2 linked regions of the Saccharomyces cerevisiae S288C genome follow. The protein of the gene in region 1 purifies or fractionates together with the protein of each later gene. This does not show direct contact. Each region holds a gene or a part of one and is shown on either strand. Other genes may lie near its edges. The genes, in order: RTS3 and TPD3.

Region 1 (3,277 bases):
ACCTATAGCGAAATAGACAATCAACGTGATGGGGTTTAAATAGCTAGCGGTAAGTAACCACTAGTAGAACGTAGCTCCATAGCGTGTAATTTGGCGGCAAAATATGTGAAGCAAGCATATTCGTTATTACTTAGCTGCCTGTGAAATCCTGTCTGTGCCTTCTCTTTGCCTTTACTTTGTATAAAAACATATCAACACTGTCTCTGCGTATGAGGCCGAGGTATTTAGAGCATAAGAAAAAATGTGAACAAAAATAGTGTCATCTCCAGTAAGGCTTAAATGTATATTGATTTTCTATATATATATATATATATATATATATTTATGAAATAAACCATATAATTATAAGTAGTAGCTTGGAAAAACGCCAAAGTTGTACTTAGAATGAGGTTTTAAAAAAAAATTATAAAAAAAAACCAAGCGAGAAGTCACGCTTATAACGCAAGTGCACGAACTGCATATGTGTTGGATTGCCAAAGATCAATAGGAAGAATATATTTAGAGAAACTCTGTTTTCTTATGTATCTCGCTTACAGCCTATTTCAATGAACCAGTTTGGAATCTCTTTGCCATGAGATCAGCCTTTAAAGAGTTTGAGCCATCGAGACTGTAATTGGAAGAACGCCTTCTCCTGTCATGAAGAAGAGCACCGGATTCGGTTAAATCGCTAGACGAAATGCCGCTTAGAGAACGTGGAAGAAGAGTGTGATGTGGAAGATCGGCGGAGGGAAGGTTTCTGTTTGTTGTTGGTGCTGAGTGGATTTTAGTCTCAATGGGGAAAATCGTGTCTGAGATGCTTGTTCCGTTAGATATGGAAGCGTTCCGGCTTGACCTTCTGGCGGAATGGGAAATGTGGGTCATGGAGTCCTTGGGTGTTAAGGGAAGTACGGTGTGTCTGGATGCACCATCTGTGAGCTTTAGCTTTGGAGTGTCGAGGGTGTAACCATAATTGCAGTCATCATCATCTAGGATGGCAGACTCGCCTTCGAAAAATGGAGACGACCTTCTAGCCGGGACCGGATGGTGCAGTTGATTTTTTAACCTAGAGTTTTCTTCTTTTAAAGTTTCAATTTCCCGTAGAAGTCTTACTACAATAGCGTCTTGCTCCTTTTCCATTTCGTTTATTATTTCTTCCCTCGAAAGCCTTCTCTGTGCTGACATTGGTGACGAAGAAGGAGACGACGACGTCGAAAGTCTGCGAGGATCACGTGCTACAGCTGGTCTCATGGCTCTTGTAACTGAAGTTTGTCTCTCTCTGCATGGTTTGGCAACAGCCTTCTTGTGTTTTGATTCTTTATTCATGTTTACGGCTCTGGAGGTAGCGATCATTATACTTTATCTTCTATTAATGCTATGATTGATGAATTATACGTATGTATGTATCTGTAAGAAAATAGCCGAATGATTGATTATCTTTTCTTATATATGATTCAAGGGAACGAAAAGAAGACAAGATAATGTTAGGCAAGATAGTTTTTTAGACGACTGAGGCCGAAGATAAGCTTTATATATATGCAAGTCTATTTTTGTACGGGCGAAACCATCTAAGCCAACGATAACAATAGCCAGCTATGATCGTTGAGTACAGCGTGGGGCAATTTTTAGCGTGATTGATAAGGGCGCATTATCTCATCATCCATCGCCAATTTGGGACTCTAACGGCAAACCTCGGATTTCCGTGGAAACGCATGGAAAAATTGATCCGGGCTGTGAGGGGAGTCGAGTCAGTCACTTTTTGGCAACTCTCTCCGTCATGACCACTACTCCGCGGTAGCTGCCAAATTTGGTATTTCCAGGTTGTTTTTTGTGGACAGCCCGCGATCATATGTAAGAGCAGGATGTGTCATCCGCGGGTGAGGTAAACGCTGGCTTGCCATTATGGTTTTTTGGTACGTGTTGAACACGTTGCTTACGATCTTGGTAGGGGCGGGCTGTGATGTGAGAGCCACAAACCCGCTTCCTCGTTGTGGCTCTGGCGCTCCGTTTCTTCTTTCCCCCGCCTTGTAATATGTCGTGCATGCGTCCATGATGATATCGTATTTATTGTATATTGTGGTGATTTCGGCATATTTTAGCACATCTGTAGTATACCACAGAGCTAAAACAACCGATTATAGTCAACATTATACAGCATTATGTCTGGATACTTCAACCATCTTTCTTCGAATGCACATTTCGCAAATATTCAAGCCGATCAGGGCTTCATAGGTGATGCTACTGGCACAAGCAGCGATCATGGCAGTAGTGGCATGGTTGATTTTGCCCTACAACTCGGAGAACTGAGCCTAGAAGAGAAAATACTTAAAGAGTTCACCTTATTCCAGAGCAAGAACATGGACTTATTGCAAGAGACGGCGACGGCGTGTCCGAGTACTAATCCTTCCTTGAGACAGAGCCGAATTCAAGGCTGGTGAACGCCTGATGCGAGCTATACGTTTTGTGCTCACCGTGCACATATGGTGGCTACTTTTCTACTCAAACACGTTTGAAAAACGGCATACGATTAGCTTACAGATTGAACTCAAAGAAGTCGCAATGGGAGGTGCAGAAGATGACGTGTTACTTAGTTTATAATACAATGTGTTTTATATATCGATTCTTCGTTTATGCATTTCTGGACGATTGCTTTTCACTGTAAATACGCACTAATATTCATGAATATAAAAAAATGTAACATCATATCTCAATGTTCTTCTCCGTCAGTCAGATAGTGGCAAGGCTGTGATAGGACATTCTTAGAACGCCAAGAAAATCAAAAATTTGAACGGTATCTAAATTCATTTGTCGAACCCTTGAAGAAACTCACAGAGCGGGGTATCTACTATTTTGTTTTCGTTCTTTTGAATCTCCGCTACGTCACATTTTCTACAACCCTCAGGTCCCCTCACCACGAAAATCCAAGATTTGTAAAATATGAGCCGCGTATTTCTGCAATGGTAGAAACGATAATGTACCTATCGTACAACGATACATTATTTTAGTGCATTATAAGCCGCTTGATTCATGTTGATAATTAGCGGCTAAATTGTAGTAGTCATTCAAAATAATCGTACACCTTCATATAGTTATGAAAGGGGTATAAAAGATGAACGCTCGTTGGCCATGTCAAAGGTGCCTTAAAAATAACAATGCTTGCGGTAGTACGTGTGCAAAGTGTATATTCGCATGAGAGGTGATCGGAAATTGCTTTATCGCCCCACTAATTCTGATTCTTATTCAAATATTTATGTCACGTAGCGAGCTTACTTATCCATATATCAAAGGAAATCCAGATATA
Region 2 (4,482 bases), on another chromosome or scaffold:
TTGGGCCTGCCCGGTGTAGGGCCCAAAATGGCTTATCTAACATTACAAAAGGCATGGGGCAAGATTGAAGGTATCTGCGTTGACGTTCACGTGGATAGATTGACCAAGCTTTGGAAATGGGTAGATGCGCAGAAATGCAAGACTCCAGATCAGACAAGAACTCAATTACAAAATTGGCTGCCTAAGGGGCTTTGGACAGAAATAAATGGGTTGCTGGTTGGATTTGGACAAATAATCACTAAATCGAGGAACCTTGGTGACATGTTACAATTCTTGCCACCGGATGATCCCAGAAGCTCCTTAGATTGGGATTTGCAGTCTCAATTGTACAAGGAAATCCAGCAAAATATCATGAGTTATCCAAAGTGGGTGAAATACCTGGAAGGAAAACGTGAACTGAACGTGGAGGCGGAAATCAATGTTAAACACGAGGAGAAAACAGTTGAAGAAACTATGGTCAAACTGGAAAATGATATTTCTGTTAAAGTAGAGGACTAAGTGTGGTAAAAAAAAAAAAAAAGAAAAGAAAAGAAAGCAGGCCTAGTTGTTAATATGTATACTTTTTATTCATTCAAGTGTACATATGTGTATGTATGTATATATTTGAACTAGTATCAATTTTTTAAAAGTTCTTGACATTCTGCCAAACTTTTCTTAGCGAAGTATTTTACATCAACATCTTCGTCTTGACACAGCGTTTGCAATGAGGGTAAAATTGTGTTCTTAATTAATGCATCATATTTGGCCTCGTCCTTAATTAAAACCTTCACTATCACAGCGTAGGATTTGGCCACATTAAACCTAATATTTGGAACACCGTCATCAGCCAAGTGAGAAATGAATGGTAATAGTTGCTCAGTAACGACATCTAACGATACCACGGGCACCAAAGTGGTTAGAGCAGAGAGTATTGTGAACCTCGAGACAAAATTTTCCAGTAATTGTAGATCAAATTTGAGCAGTCTTGAAATAATTTCATCACGACACCAATCAGAGCCAAATATTTCCGTTAACCTTTTTAAATTATTCACTGCGGCTTCTCTGATAGAATAAACAGTATCCCACAACCATGAAAGACATAAATCGCTTAACTGTTGGTCAAAAAATTGCATACCTAATTGTTCTGCCAAGATAGGTATGTACTCAATTATAGCCATTCTAACTCTCCAATTCACGTCCTTGGCTAATTCTGTTATGGCAGGTAACAAAGAGTCTGATAGCAGCTCAATTCCTATTACGTCATTGACAACCTTCAAGCTGGCAATGATATTTAAACGAACGTCAGGGAACTCATCTCTTAGCATATTCAGTAAAATCGGAAGAAAATTGTTAATGACTTGATCTTTATTCAACAGTAATACAATATTTGTAATCTTAGAAGCCAAAGCAGATCTCACTGTTTCACTTTCGTCCATACTCAAATTCTGCACAGCAGGTAAGATCTTATTCAATATAATTGAAGGATCATTTAGGAACTTGGCAAACCCAGAAACTTGTTTAGCCACAGCTTCCCTAACATCTCCCTCGTTGTCCTCACAAAGGTTCAAAAATGGTTGTACTAATTCATCGATATATGCTTGGTTGGAACTGAATTGCGAGGCTAAATCTGAAAATCTATCGGCAGCCATGTAACGTACCCTCCACGCTTCGTCACCAATTAATTTGACAGCAGAGTTCAATAAATCTTGAGTGTGAGACTCATCACCTTTAGCGTTAAAAAATTTCAAGATGGAAATTAAACAATCAACTGCCAGAAACTTGACAGAATCTTGATTATCGTTAATGATTTTCTGGAAAATGTTAGAAATGTAATCCCAATCTTCGTCTGTAGATAATCCCAAATTTTGAGTCAACAGATCGATCAAGATGGGCAGGTTTTTACCGACGGCCCTTTTCACCATTGGAGTATCATCTTGAGCGAGTTGTAAGTATAAAGCCAGGATATTCTTTCTCAATGAATCATCTTTGATTCTAACAATAACAGACTTGAAAAGACCACAAGCAGAAACTTTTGAAGAAAACCAATCTGCAGTAGCTAAATGTTCAATTAAAGGGACGAAGTCACTAAATAATTGTTCTTGAGAAAGTTCTTGGGCCACGTTATTCAGAGAATCTACGGCCTTTTCTCTAACCAAAGTTTCTTCTGCAGATGCCAAAATTTCCAAAACTGGTAATAGGATTGTGGCGTATTGAGGACCGCCAATGTAGGGGACAAATTTTCCTAACTGTTCGGCTAAAACGGCAAACACCTCATCTTCATCATCTTGTGCAACTTCCGTTAAAAAGGGAATCAACTCGTTTCTTGTTCTTTCGGGACCGAGTGCCAACGCGATGGTATCTAGTTTTTTCATGGCTTCTACCCTATTAGCAATATCATCATGTTTTAACTCATCCATAAGCAGAGCCAAGGGATATAATGACTCGTTAGAGTCTGAGTCCTTAGAGTTTGACGTTGTTGATGTTGTTGATGTTGTTGCTGCCGAGGGCACGGCACCTGCCGTTGTTGATCTTGCTCCAGACATATTTCGCTCCTTTCTGACCACTCAATTATTCTTCGATAATCAGATACCAGTTGTTATAGTCGTCGAAATAAGTTCCACGTTAGTATTGTTGCTATCTGCCTTCCTTCGTAACTTAGTTCCCTAACACTTTCTCCTGTTAACTCTTTCACCTTTTTCGCTTTCCCTGCAAAAAGGGCATTCCGGGTATTATCGTCTGTAGTGATTTAATAATGGTAATAAGCTCTTTGCATTAGGAAGAGAATAGCAGTAGTATTGATCAATAGTTCATGTGGTATCAGTATTTCTGCTTTTAAGGTATGGTTTACTATGTAATTTCAATATTTACCCTATCTTTGTTTTCTAAATATGTAAATTTTTTATATTTAAGTCTTGATTAACTGCTTTGGATGCTGTATTTTTATCATATTAACATTTTGATTAAAGAAAGAAAGTACATATTGATTTATTCATATTTAAATAGAGAAAACTACCAACTCATTACTGAAGAAAGTAAGAAGAACGACATACCAAGCATTGTTTCTACTGGATATTTTTTTGCATTTTCTTTTCCAATTACTAATGTCCTAGAATGATCATTAATCCTTCAAATAACCAACCATTTGTCGTTATTTATGTCGTCAATGGTGGGTCTCTTCGGTACGCAACGGTTCAAAATACTCTTGATTAACTCAATGCAATCTTCACTAACTTCCTCTGCATTATTGAATTTCAGGTCGCCTTCTAATATTTCATCTATATTGTAGAAGGGGTTTTCTTTGAAGACCACCGTATACAATAGAATACCAATAGCCCAAATATCCTGTGGTTGGCCCTCATAAGGGTTTCCTCCTAAGACTTCAGGGGCAGCATAATCTATTGTCCCAACAAAAACATCAAATGGTCCGCTTTTGACATACGCAGCAGATCCAAAATCAATAATCTTAACAAAGCCTTTAGAATCTACGATAACATTCTCATCCTTGATATCTCTGTGAACAATACCCTGGTCGTGTAGATGTTTTATTCCCGCTACAACCTGCTTGAATATCAATTTTGCTTCAAATTCGGTCATGTTGGTTTTAAATTCAATTAGATCGAAAAGATCTATACATCCTGTTTCACCATGTACGGGAGTTTCGATATAATAGTAATCGTCGTCTTCAAAAAAATCCAGTAACCGTAAAATATTCTCATGTGGTTTTTTGTTCAACGTGGCCATAATTTGGATCTCAGAAGGTATAGTGCCTAATTTCCTATCTCTAACCCATGTATCTACAAGGATTCTTTCTTTAAAAATCATCTTAATCACCACAATATACCTATTCTTCTTATGAATACATAGGTTGACCTTACCATATGCACCTTCACCCATTTTTTGCAGACTTACGAAGTCCGAAAACTTCTTAACATGCTTTTGAGCACCGATGTTCTTTTCGGGGGTGCGTAGGAAAGTACTAACAGGTTGGTTTCCTCGCTTGTTAGTCATTATGATTCCGTCTTCGTCTTTAGGTGATCCCGCTAATCCGTTTTCTGTAGCGTTTTCGTCAATTAGCTTTTCCTCTTCAAGTGGAGAAAGCCCTTTCCCAGAACTTTTAGAATCTGCTAAGGATTCAGTGCTTGGGGAAAGTGAAATTTTGCTAATAATCAAATTTTCGTCAACTTTAAAATTTCCTTCTTTCACAAATTGAGATTTATCTCTTGAGTAAATTCTGGCCAATTCTAACTTGTGCTTCATTTCGGGGTCTGCAAGCATCATCTCGCCACTGTCCTTATCGTTTTCCAGGGGAACTTGTTCCTGCTCGGACAAAGTAGATTGAGAATGTGCTCTAGAATCATCTCCGATTTCATACTTAAGCTTATTCGTTCGGTGGGCCAAATCCTCATATGTTGACAGATTACTCATGTCCTTTAATGTCCCGGTGGATATCCTAGACGAAGATTTTTTGGAAGAGCTGGCAGAACTACTTGCACTGCTCATTAA

The links.
Region 2: the proteins of RTS3 (region 1) and TPD3 purify together in Saccharomyces cerevisiae (affinity purification with mass spectrometry; 4 studies listed by BioGRID). This does not show direct contact.

The regions. Positions count from the first base shown.
Region 1 is NC_001139.9:808,092-811,368, forward strand, and holds RTS3 (Rts3p), read right to left. Parts: upstream 1,330-3,277; coding exon 538-1,329; downstream 1-537. Other genes in the region: YGR161W-C (uncharacterized protein), read left to right, coding at 2,136-2,414. UniProt on the Saccharomyces cerevisiae protein: May be a component of a protein phosphatase type 2A (PP2A) complex. Negatively regulates SIT4 phosphatase, a modulators of caffeine sensitivity.
Region 2 is NC_001133.9:122,919-127,400, reverse strand, and holds TPD3 (protein phosphatase 2A structural subunit TPD3), read right to left. Parts: upstream 2,523-4,482; coding exon 615-2,522; downstream 1-614. Other genes in the region: bifunctional N-glycosylase/AP lyase NTG1, read left to right, coding at 1-498; serine/threonine protein kinase PSK1, read right to left, coding at 3,106-4,482. UniProt on the Saccharomyces cerevisiae protein: Phosphatase 2A affects a variety of biological processes in the cell such as transcription, cell cycle progression and cellular morphogenesis, and provides an initial identification of critical substrates for this phosphatase.